Ovis aries: one gene and its partners. The protein of the gene in region 1 purifies or fractionates together with the protein of each later gene. This does not show direct contact. Links are inferred from orthologs where the notes say so. Each region holds a gene or a part of one and is shown on either strand. Other genes may lie near its edges.

The links.
Region 2: the proteins of MCMBP (region 1) and MCM3 purify together in Homo sapiens (affinity purification with mass spectrometry; 10 studies listed by BioGRID and IntAct, counting the BioPlex papers as one, with this or other methods). This does not show direct contact. The link is inferred for Ovis aries from reciprocal best matches to the Homo sapiens genes MCMBP and MCM3.
Region 3: the proteins of MCMBP (region 1) and MCM8 purify together in Homo sapiens (co-immunoprecipitation; 3 studies listed by BioGRID and IntAct, with this or other methods). This does not show direct contact. The link is inferred for Ovis aries from reciprocal best matches to the Homo sapiens genes MCMBP and MCM8.

Annotation. Positions count from the first base shown.
Region 1 is NC_056075.1:39,499,834-39,504,109, forward strand, and holds the start of MCMBP (mini-chromosome maintenance complex-binding protein), read right to left. Parts: upstream 2,813-4,276; 5' UTR 2,534-2,812; coding exon 2,476-2,533; intron 1-2,475. Other genes in the region: SEC23IP (SEC23-interacting protein), read left to right, coding at 2,986-3,169. UniProt on the Homo sapiens protein: Associated component of the MCM complex that acts as a regulator of DNA replication.
Region 2 is NC_056073.1:24,373,900-24,377,987, forward strand, and holds the start of MCM3 (DNA replication licensing factor MCM3), read right to left. Parts: upstream 2,854-4,088; 5' UTR 2,756-2,853; coding exon 2,678-2,755; intron 1,635-2,677; coding exon 1,522-1,634; intron 1,170-1,521; coding exon 961-1,169; intron 226-960; coding exon 95-225; intron 1-94. UniProt on the Homo sapiens protein: Acts as a component of the MCM2-7 complex (MCM complex) which is the replicative helicase essential for 'once per cell cycle' DNA replication initiation and elongation in eukaryotic cells.
Region 3 is NC_056066.1:47,865,365-47,869,010, reverse strand, and holds part of MCM8 (DNA helicase MCM8), read right to left. Parts: intron 1,918-3,646; coding exon 1,728-1,917; intron 987-1,727; coding exon 894-986; 3' UTR 1-893. UniProt on the Homo sapiens protein: Component of the MCM8-MCM9 complex, a complex involved in the repair of double-stranded DNA breaks (DBSs) and DNA interstrand cross-links (ICLs) by homologous recombination (HR).

The DNA of each region.
Region 1 (4,276 bases):
GTGATTTCAACAACATGCTTTACAAGTTAATTTTCAGGCTTCACAGGATCCTATAATTACATGCAGCAGAAGTTACCCAACTCAGGTTCCCAAAGAAGAGTAAGATTTAGCCAGGAAAACAGAAGTGGGAGAGGAAGTCTTGACCAGGCAAAGGAAACAGCCTATGCAGAAAGCCTAGTGGCGTGGTTTAAGATCAGAGAACTGGAAGAAGGTTCAGTGTGAGGGGGAATACCGTGATGAGGTCTGAGAGCTGGGCAATGTGCCTGCCCAGTTGTGTCTGACTCTTTGTGACCCTATGGACTGCAGACTGCCAGCCTTCTCAGTCCATGGGATTTCGCCAGGAAGAACACTGGAGTGGGGTTGCCATTTCCTTCTCCAAGGGATCTTCCTGACCCAAGGATCAAACCTTCATCTCCAGGGTCGCCTGCATCACAGGTGAATTCTTTACCACTGAGACACCAGAGCTGGGCAGGGGTGGGGCCAAAAGGCCTCATAAACCACAAAAGATGAGTATACTTTTCTCTCTGGGCGAAAATGGATTTACAACAATTTCCTATTAGACCAAAAAGAGTCTACAAGTTTAACACCTCACTTCTCACACAAACATACCTGTAATGTTGTTGTTATAAAGCTATCCAATCCCATATATTCACAGTGATAGGAAAATATAGCAAGAATATACATTATATATCAAAGCAGCTTCTACAAAAACATCATGACTGTAAGACAGGATTAGTTTCTTCTCTGCAAGACACAATCTGTATGAGAATAAGACATTCTAGAGGAAAAACACATCAACAAGGTCCAGGTCATCAACAAAACACAAACTTCAGAAAATACTGTAGAGCCAGCATTTTATATCCAAATTACACCTACTATACTATAATGAGTTGTTTGCCTCTTAGGGTCCTACAAGCAGGAGACAAAATCTGACACAAATACATTCAAATATATACTAAATATAAAATCATCTCATTTATCCAGCCAGACTAGGACATGGATATTTCTCTTAAATTTTCTAAACATCAATTAAGCACCAAAACTTACTTACTTTTGAATGATTTTCCCTAAAAAGTGTCTCTGTGTCTGCACCCTCTTAAACCTACTGTGCAATTTAATCTTCACTCCACATTTAAAGGCCATTATTTTGGAAAACAATTATGGGTTCTAGTATTCATTATGAGCATCAATTACCAGGATTTAGTAGAGAGACATATGCCCCTTTTTGAAAAGGGCCCTGGATGGATATACAGGGATTAAAAAAAATTTTTTTAAACACTATGTACATAGTTTGAAATTTCTCCTTTAATAGGTTGTCAGTGTTCACTGGCTACAATTTGGATGCCTACCCAGGGCTTTTCCTAATATGCTGCCTCTAGTTTCAGCCTGGGAAACCAGACAACTGAACAAGTTCAAATCACAAGGAAAACGAATAGAGTTGCTCAGTGAGCCTTTCCTGCAAGAAATACATTTTCTGCCATCCGTTTTGGCTGCTGCGGACTATTTAGCTTCTTAATAAGCGTTCACGCTAATATTCCACAAGGTCTTAAGTGAGGAAGGCCACTTTCCAAGTTCAAGTTACCTCCTGACAAGTCAGGTGTTCTGATCTTACACACTGATTCCCGGTTGGGTTTGCCTCCACCACTCCTGAGTGCAAAAGACATGCGGGGTGGGGCCAAAATGCCTAGTGAACGGCAACCAGACCTAAATTTTTCTTTGTGTACCCTACCCGAAAAGTGTCATTAACCATGACTGCAAGTGAAATTTCCTGAGCTTGCCTGCCACATGCTAAGCTCTTTCTATGCAGGAACGCATCTGAGTTCGTTCACCATTTCTTGCTAGCTCTGGCCCAAGAGGAGATGGGGAGACGAGACATGTTTTAAAGGTGTCCTAACGGAAAAAAATCTAAGTTATCACACGAAATCTTATCTCGAAAAAGGAGGATGTGTGTAACCCAGGAGTTACAGCCAACTTCTGCAGCGAGCGAGCAAGCACGCGAGCACTCCCCCCACACACCGGAAGTTTTGAAATGTCCTGCGGGCTTCCCATAGGCAAAGTGCTTTTCCCTTCAGCACATCTCTGCGGGTCCTCCCGAAAGGTTCGAGGACCCCCCAACCCCAGAGTCCGGCCGCACGCGGGGCTCAGGGTCCGCCCGCGGGGCCACGAAGGGGGAAGCGAGGCCGTCAATCACGGCCGGCAGCCGGCTCCTGGCGCCGTAACCTTGGTGGCTCGGGAGTCGCGAATCGGGCAGGTGGGAGGCACCTGCGGCCCGGGCCCGGGCAGCCGCGGCCCGGACTCTCCGGGCGGGAGGGGGTTGCCGAGCGCCGGCGGCGCAGGCCCGGCTGACCGTCTCGGCCGCTCGAGCCCTCGAGGCGGCCCCGCCTGGGCGCCGCGCGGCAGGGTCCGGGCCCCGGGGGCTCGGTGAACTCGGCGGCCCGCCCGGACCCCGCCCGCCCCCCGGGCGCCGCCACTCACCGAAGAAGCCCTGCACGATGCCCAGCGGGTGGCTGAGCCAATCCTCCCCACAGGGCATCTCGCCGACTGGCCGGAGCCGGCGCGGCCCGGGCGTCCCGCGCGCCTCTGCTCCTCGTCGGGGGCTCGGCCGCTCCTCGCCCGCGCCCTCCCACGCAGGGAAAGCCTCGCGGCGCGGGCCGCCTGGCCTCCCCGCGCCTCAGGGAACGGCGGCGGAGGCGGCGGCTGTGAGGCGCTGCCGGCCACGGGCAGGCGGCGCGTGCGGGCCCCCAGCCTCCACTTCGCACAATGGCGGGAAATAGGCGCCGCCGCCGCCGACCGCGCTGCCGGCGACCTGGGTGGAGCTCGTGCGGGGAGGGGCGGCGGGAGCGCGCAGCGCGGCCCCGCGGCGGGGAGGCGGGGCGGCCTTGCTCCGGGGAGAGGGGGTGGGGCTCGGCGGGGCGGGGCCGCGGCGGCAGGGCGGTCGCCATCTTGGAGACGGGCGAGGGGAAGGGCAGGGGTGGCCTCGCGAGCATGCCGCGTGGTTACTTGAGGGCTGCATATTGCTCGGTGTCCCTCTGCAGACTCCAAAGGAGAAACTCCCGATGTCTGGTTTATCTGTTTATAGTGGCGAGGCCTTGCGCAGGTCGGAGACCGCAACAGTCCAAGAGCACAAGCGCAAAGAGACCTCAAAGTTATCTCTGGGCAAAATTAGAAGGTAACGTTGCCTCTGGTGTCTGCCCACCTCGTCCCGCCTCTTAGTGGTTTTTTTTTTTTTTTTTTTTTGGCCAATGGCAACTCTTTTGTTTGGTTCCGTGCTAGAAACCCCCTGTAATGACTTTCCTCCACTGGATCAAGTCTTCCCTCGACTGGATCAAGACAGTGGTATCTGTACACAGAAAAGATCTGGTTAATAGTAACCTTTGAATGAGGAAATTTGGAAAATATCCAAGTTCTATAATGAAACAGCCCCTAGATCTGAAATATATCGGAAAAAACCCTCCCTCTCATAACCTGAAGTACAGCGTATTAACAGAAGGATGATCCGAATGCGATCATCTCCACTCCCTAAAAAGTGAGGAGCTGGAGAACTGAACTCGGATCTCAAGCCCTCCTTAGGGCAAAAGGGTTTATTTTGTATCTGTCACTGTGAACTAATTACATTCCTCTGAATCTGGTGGGCAAGGCTGGTTGAATACCCGGATGTGGAAACTGAAGCTATGGAGACCTGATCACGCAGAGTCGTCTGTACTATTTCGTACCATTTTACATAAGAAACTCTGGCATTCAGATATCTGTTCCTGGAACCAATTCCCTGCAATTGATACCAAGGGATGACTGTGATTGGCATATTATACTATACATCTGGCTCTTGTGAGTTTGGGTGAGCTGAGAAAACGGTTTCAAATCGTTGGCATTACTACTTTCATTCATTCATTTAGCTTAGAAGGGCTCGAGATTCCTGGTATTGAATAGAGAAATCTCCTATTTAGCTTTGTGACATACAATCTTTTAAATTATAATAATTTCAATTTGCTGTATATGAAATTGCAGCTGGACACCAATTCAGCAGTGGCTAAGAACACTTCAGCTTTTGGTTTCTCCCTCTGTAGTCAGTGATTTGTAGACAATTGTTCAGATTTAACTTTAAGAGACACTGTGATCCTACTGAAATAATGTGAATAATTTCACCCAAGATGTTTTGACACTACTAATGAGTGGTTATGAAAACTTAAAAGGCCAAGGGAAGGTCCATAAGAGTATTTCTCTATGGCAAGATTTTTTTTCCCACTGCTGGCAATCACACTTCCCCCACTCTCAAGTC
Region 2 (4,088 bases), on another chromosome or scaffold:
TAGAGGAAGACTTTAGATATTACCTAATTACTTGCATTAAAAAACAACTTTGAACCCAACCTCTGAAGAGGTCCGACTAATTCATTCCCCTCACCTTGGTGGGATAGACAGAGCTGGAAGGAAAGGCCACCAGGTTGGTGAGATCAGAGTAACGTCGCTCTATGGTCTTCTTGGTAGCAGGACAATAGTGGACACTGCGGACGACTTTGGGACGAACTAGAGAGCCTAGGAATAGAAAGTCACCCAACTAAACAGCAAGAAGGGGATCTGACCCAGGCAAGTCCATGATGACTCCAAATTACGTTCTTCCAACTAGTGGGGCTATCCCAATACTAACTGTTAATTCATTTTTATATTTACACACAGAATAACACCATATCCAGGTAAAACCTTAAAGTACCGCTGATCCCGACCAAGCAGCAGGAGGAATTCAGGGTCAGAATGAGGAGACTCACTGCCAAGAGCCAAGACTCCTCCATTCTCGGCAGATTCACCATTCCGCTGGCACAGGCGGTCACTCAAAGCTCCCCTAGTTATTGTGCAAAACTTGCGTTTCTTCAAGTTTCACCTGGTAATTTCAGCGCTCCACCTTTTTCAAGCCATAAGCTCCCCAAGCTCGGAGAAGGCAATGGCGCCCCACTCCAGTACTCTTGCCTGGAAAATCCCATGGACGGAGGAGCCTGGTAGGCTGCAGTCCATGAGGTCGCTAAGAGTGATTCACTTTTCACTTTCATGCATTGGAGAAGGAAATGGCAATCCACTCCAGTGTTCTTGCCTGGAGAATCCCAGGGACGGGGGAGCCTGGTAGGCTGCCGTCTATGGGGTCGCACAGAGTCGGACACGACTGAAGCGACTTAGCAGCAGCAGCAAGCTCCCCAACCTACTCCACCTCTCCTGCCTTCCATACCCCCAAGTCTACCCCACCTCCATTCCGTGGGTCTCCAACTGTAGCCCACTTACATTTAGTAACAATGCCCTCCACACAGACGACACAGCTCAGGAAGCAGGAGGTAAGGGTCCGAGGAGAGACATGCTTGGAGCCGAAGCTGCCCTCCAAGCCTATGTAGAACTCCTCGTACTGCTTGGCATACGTAGCATCGATGGAGGCCACGAAATCCTTCAAGGCCCGCTGGAAGGCAACCAGCTCCTCAAAGGCATTGCTCAGAAGGCTGCAAAGAATCATCAGGCAGAGACCACAGATTTCAAAAAACTTGACCCACAAAACAGAAGTGGACATTCTTACTTGATCAAAGCTTAGGAGTGAAAAATCTTCTACTTTCTCCTGCCATTCTACAAGGCCCAGTAAAGTACATCAGAGCTGCGGGCCAGTTATAACTCAGTGATGGGGAAATGATACTCAGCGAAGAAGTAAAAAACACAGAAGCAGGGGAGGGTGATGTACTAAGGGCTTCCTGGTCAAATATAGTTCATCCAGGTCCTCCCCTGGGAAGCTTGCTCCAACCTAGGGAAGAGAAGGAGCCATTCTCACTCAGAACTAGGGATGCGCTCTTGGAAACTCACCGGTTAGCCCTCTTCTCGTTCTTCCTACGCAGGTCATTCACGTTGACAATCAACCGGTACTGGTTGTCACTAATCAGCTCCCGAACTTTGCTCTGATAAATTCCCTGGTCTTCCTGCAAAATAACCACCGCATGCTACAGCAGCTCACAAGTTCAAAAACTGGATGTTTTTAAAGAGAGGCAGCTCTCACAGCAAGATAAATATATCAATCTCTGTGGCAGACCTGAGCCCCCATTTCACCCACATTTTCACTCATTAGCTTCCGATTCCAAATGCACCCTAAAAAGCCAGTGTATAAATTATAACGACTTCTTCATTATTCCTATTATCACCAACAGCTCTTCTGTGCCCACGCATCACTTCTTAACTTTTAACTGGGAATTAAAATGAGCTTCTAAGAAGTCTAAAAAGACAAGTAAAAACCTTGTCAAAATGTAAATTAAAGGGACTTTTAATATATCAAAGTAACTTTCCGTTGCAGAATCTTGTATTTAATTAAAATATTTTATTTCCCTATCATCTGCATAACAGAAAAGGAGTTCTCATATAAGGGACCTAAGAGTTGGGAGCCTTAGTTACATTTACAAACACAGCACTATCAATCCAAGATGCTTTACCAATATTCCATGGCTGTCAATCCAAAATTGCCTATAAAATCCCCTTTATTTGCGTACCAACCCTCTTTCTCCGCTTCCCATCAGGTATGGAAAAAGAATGCGGCAAAATTAGAACGTCCTTTTCTCCGGGTAGGAAGTCAGTCACTAAAGCCTGAAGGCCTATAACGCGGCGGGTCACTATCGTTTTCCCGCGGTCCTTCCCCCACTCTCCCCCCAGATTAAGAGAGTAGGGAACGATCTCCAAAAGGTCAACGTGGGCTTTACACTTGGTTTGCACTTGGAGAAAACCTGTTGACTTTCGCGAGACCTAGCCACCATTTGTACTCGAGAGAAAAATTACAGAATCGCTCTTAACCACTGACTCCGCCGCCAGGAAAGCTACCAGATCGAGGCGGAAGGTCCCAAGCAGCAGCCCCTCCGCCGCAGCCTGGAGTCCGGCGGTCTCCCTTGGCCCCTAGTGTCTCCGCGGCCTTTCTCGGCTCCTGCGCGGCCCCTGGGCCTCCGAGCACCCTAATTTCGTGACTCGGCGCCTCTCTCACCTCATCGTCCAGGAAGTCCAGGTAGTCTCTCTGCGCCTCTCGCAGCTCCACATCGTCCAGCACCACCGTCCCCGCCATGCTCGCGGACCGGGAATTTCTGCGCAGAGGGCGATTGGCTGGCAAGCCCCGGCGCGAAAACTTCCCAACTTTTCCCGCCAAGAAAAGTAACCTCAAGCAAGGGGGCGGGGTAGCGTGGAGCGTATGTACATTCCGATTGGCTGGTTTTCTTACGCTACAACAGCGAGCATCCAATCGAGAGCTGCTTCTTTTCCGGGTTTTCCGCGCCGCGTCTCGCGGTGGCGGGAAATGTTCCATCCGGCGCCCTCCCCTCTCCGCCTTTACTGACAGGAAAGCGGACCAATTGGACGAGAGGATGCTCGCGAAACCTGGTCATTGGAGAGCCCGCGAGACCCAGGAGCTGCATTCTGGGAGTTGTAGTGGTCCCCCTTTCCCCTGTAATTTTACAAACGTTGGTGGTTTTTTATCTCAAGTTGTGGTTACCTGCCCCGCTAAAGAGTGAAGAAACTCAGCTCCGCTATTGGACTGAAAGTAGCTTAGACGTCGGAAAGCAGAGGTTTAGAACGCAGGGCGATAAAAACATAAAGGCCAGTCGTTTAAAAAATATATTCAAATCAGTTGTGTATGGATATGTTTTGCAGTCAACCAGTCTCTAGTGGTATGCCGGGGGAGAAGTGAATTTCGAGAATCAGAGGGGGAAATAGACTCATAACATCTTTGGAGAGGTTCTGTAGTTCAGTGACTCGTTTGCTAACTGAATACTGGGGCCTGAAGTACCTCATAAAAATACCAAGCCGGAGAGGAGGGAAAAATGAGAGAAAAATTGTCGGGATATTACCCACTCTCACCCCCACTTCCCGCTGCCGGCCGAGATGGCCTTATATATGTTACACGAAATTGTGGACGTAATTACTACACCATCCTACTTGCAAGCTGGTAAGTTAAAGGCTTTCTCCCCTTATTAGCAAGTCACAGTTCAGTTCAGTCGCGTCCGACTCTTTGCGACCCCATGAATCGCAGCACACCAGGCCTCCCTGTCCATCACCAACCCCCGGAGTTCACTCAGACTCACGTCCATCAAGCCAGTGATGCCATCCAGCCATCTCATCCTCTGTCGTCCCATTCTCCTCCTGCCCTCAATCCCTCCCAGCATCAGTCTTCCAGTGAGTCAACTCTTCGCATGAGGTGGCCAAAGTACTGGAGTTTCAGCTTCAGCATCATTCCCTCCAAAGAAATCCCAGGGCTGATCTCCAGAATAGACTGGTTGGATGTCCTTGCAGTTCAAGGGACTCTCAAGAGTCTTCTCCAACACCACAGTTCAAAAGCATCGATTCTTCAGCGCTCAGCTTTCTTTGCCGTCCAACTCTCACATCCATACATGACCACTGGAAAA
Region 3 (3,646 bases), on another chromosome or scaffold:
TGCATAACCAAATCACTTTGCTGTACACCTGGAACTAACACAGTATCAAGTATACTTTAAGGAAAAAAAAAAAAGAATTAGCATTAGTAGCATGTCCTTTAGAAAAATGGAGGTAAATGGGAGATCAGTTGCGACTGAACAGAAAACTGGGGCATGTGGATGAGTGGAACAGAGGCTGCTACAGTCTTGCACAGCTGTTTAAATTTTTTTCATTAGCTACGATGTTAAGCTTAATATGTCAGTATATGGATGGACACTAGACTTTAGGTGAGGAGGAAATAGTATATACAGAAGTCTAATTACACATGAAGCTTATATCATGTTATATATCAAAGTCGGTAAATAAAGCTAAGGGAATTCCCTGGCCGTCCAAATAGTTAGGACTCCATGCTTTCACTGCTAAGGGTCCAGGTTCAATCCCTGGTCAGTGAACTAAGATCCTATAAGCTGCAAGGCACGGCTAATAAAGAAAAAAATTAAATTAAAAAAAGTCAATATACAATATTTCCAAAATTTTGGGGAATTGAAAGTTGGCATCAATTTATTTCTATGAGATGCTCAATTTTGTGTGTCAGAACTATTTAAATATTTAAATGTAACCTTGTGACTGTTTACGCAGATGAACATTTGATATGCACAACCATAAAGTATTTATAAGAATAAAAGAAAGGTCAAAAACAAAACTATAAATAACTTCTAATTACATCATTTAGATAAAATGTAAAATACTTTTAGTCTTCTGGAGAAGTAAAAAATTAACACATGATTTTATCACTTCTTAAATTGGTTCAACTCTCTTTTCCTGTTACATGTGGGATGTCATTTTTCAGAGAACAGTTTTTTTTTGCATATTCTTCACAACAAACCCAGGACAGCCTGGCTTGGTAGTCCTATTACATAGTTTGAAGTTGGTAAACCTTTGGGCCTTTTTTCAAGAGATAACCTTGGTCATTTAGTGATCCAATAAAATTTTCAAAATCAGCAACCTAGTAGAAAATAATAAAAGAGCCTGTTAAATATATGCAAAAAATGTGATTTTTAAAATTAATCTCTCAAACAGTAATATACAATTGTCAAGTTTTTTGGGCAAATAAAATCATTTGTACTTCTTACAGAGAAAGCTGCTTACATACAAAACTTGGATTCTATAACACCTAGCTAATCAAAAATAACTCCAGTATGCATAGAATCTTTTATATTTGTTTTAGCTTAGCTTCAAAATAAAAATTAGACCAACTTTTGAAATTGAATGAGCAATTTTCCATACAAACTGTTTTACATGTTTAAAGTGCTATTATGAATCCTGGAAAGAAAAAATAAAAACCTATAAAGTGCTATTATACCCATTTTCACTAAGACTTTTAAGTAGTTAGATCAAGTGGAATCATGTCCATGTAACAAATGAGAAAACTGAGGTTCAATGATGTGTAACATGACTTGCCCACACAGACTGTCAGAATAACATGGAAACTTGCTATGTTTCTCCTATCAAGATGTTGAAAACTCTTTTGAAAAGAAGTTTGAATTTTAGATAAAAACTGTTTTTTTAAAGCTCTGAGCAACTAATTTTATATCTTAAATAAAACAAGCGTGTGTTTTAAATACTCCAAAACAGCCTATTCCATAACTTTAGTCTAAATCTTTTGACGTTTAAAAGTTCTTCTATACTAATAAAGCCCTCCTGAAATTATTATAAAAAGATTTACTAATTATTTATTTTATCATACCTGAATGTTTAACTCTTTGGCAATCTGTTGAAGTTGATGAAACTGAAATAAATTATTGTAAGTTCTTTCGGCAATATTGTTGAGAGCAGAAATAAATCTTTTTGCTGCTGACCTGTTGCTCATTCCAGAACCATGCTGGGATCGTTCAAAATCTAGGTTCCCAAATTCATCAGAGTAAGTTCCTAACATGCTTATAGAAGGAAAGAAAAACAGTTACCCAGTGTGTTTCAGCTACAGAAATTTTTGTCCAAGTTATAAAAAGAAAAATGTGGAAATAGCCCTGAGGCTCAGGTAACAAAGATTTAAACATGTATTTACTGAGCGGTGATTGTGAATTAACCATGTATGGACTGGTCGGGGATAACAATATTTTGGACATAGCTACCACTTTTTAAGAAACTCCCTATATTTAGAAAGAGAAATACAAATGAATTTTTGCATAAAAATACAAAGTTGACAGGCTACAATATAAATACTTGGAACATTCTCTTTGATTCATGAAAAAAAAAAAAAAACTAAACATACTAAATTTAGGCTTTCCTTGGTAAAGATGTCTTCTCAGCTCCTAGAGCAGCATCTGGCAAATAAAATGTGTTAGAAATACTCTGGGGATGAAGTAGAAAGGTTCTGCTGAGTTGCAGTAATGATGGTTAGATATTAAAGGATACACCTACTTCTCCAGCTCTTGCTGCTTTCTTCTTATTTTCATAATATAATCAGGGAAAGAAATACATAATTCACAGTGAATTTTAGCCAGAAGTCTGAAAGTACCAGTTAGAGCTTAGTCATCCTCTCTAGTCCAGCCCTGTTGCTGATTGCCTGCCCTTAATTCTCGGCTTATATATAATCTCACAGCCAGGCTCAGAGGCAAAGATGGTATTTAATGAGTTACTTAATCAAATATAAATTGGTCACTAGACAGTAGGCTTCCCATGGTAGAACAAAACAGGTGCAATTCCTGCCCTTAAGGAGCTTATAGTTATGAATTTAAAGGGTTATTAAAAACACAGCTTCATTTTGTTCCCTGAATAGGTAAGAGCCCACATGAAAGAGAATAAGCTGTACATACAGGAATGAGTCATCCAAATAAGACTGTAGTAACTAATAAAACAATTAGATGAATATGTGTATTCCCTAGAAATATAGCATAATTTTTTTTAATAATGAACTACTTTCCTGTGTTATTTGTTGTTTAATCACTAAGTTGTGTCACACTCTTTTGCAAGCGCATGGACTGCAGCCCGCCAGGGGAGCCTCGTGTACAGGCTCCTCTGTACATGAGATTTCCCAGGAAAGAATACTGGAGTTGGCATTTCCTTCTCCAAGAGATCTTCCTTTCATTGGCAGGTGGATTCTTGACCACTGAGCCACCAGGGAAGACCATACCATATAATTTACCATATTATTTCTCATAGAACAGTCGTCACAAATGCTTTAGGCGACTATGTCAATTATAATAGCTAGTATACCTTAATTGTATTTATTTACCAAGCACTGGTTTGCACTCCTTGCATCAAACCAGTCAATCCTAAAGGAAATCAACCCTGAATATTCATTGGAAGGACTGATGCTGAAGCTAAAGCTCCAATACTTTGGCCACCTGATGAGAAGAGCCAACTCACTGGAAAAGACCCTGATACTGGGAAAGACTGAAGGCAGGAGGAGAAAGTGACAACAGAGAGCAAGATAGTTGGATGGTATCACTGACTCAGTGGACACTGAGTTTGAACAAGCTCAGGGAGAAGGTGAAGGAGAGGGAACCCTGGTGTGCTGCAGTCCATAGGGTCACACAGTCGGACATGACTGAGCAAATGACCTGAACTGAACCATGTGTCCGATTTAGCCCTTCCAGCAATCCTATTCAGTTCAGTCACTCAGTCATGTCCGACTCTTTGGGACCCCATGAATCGCAGCATGCC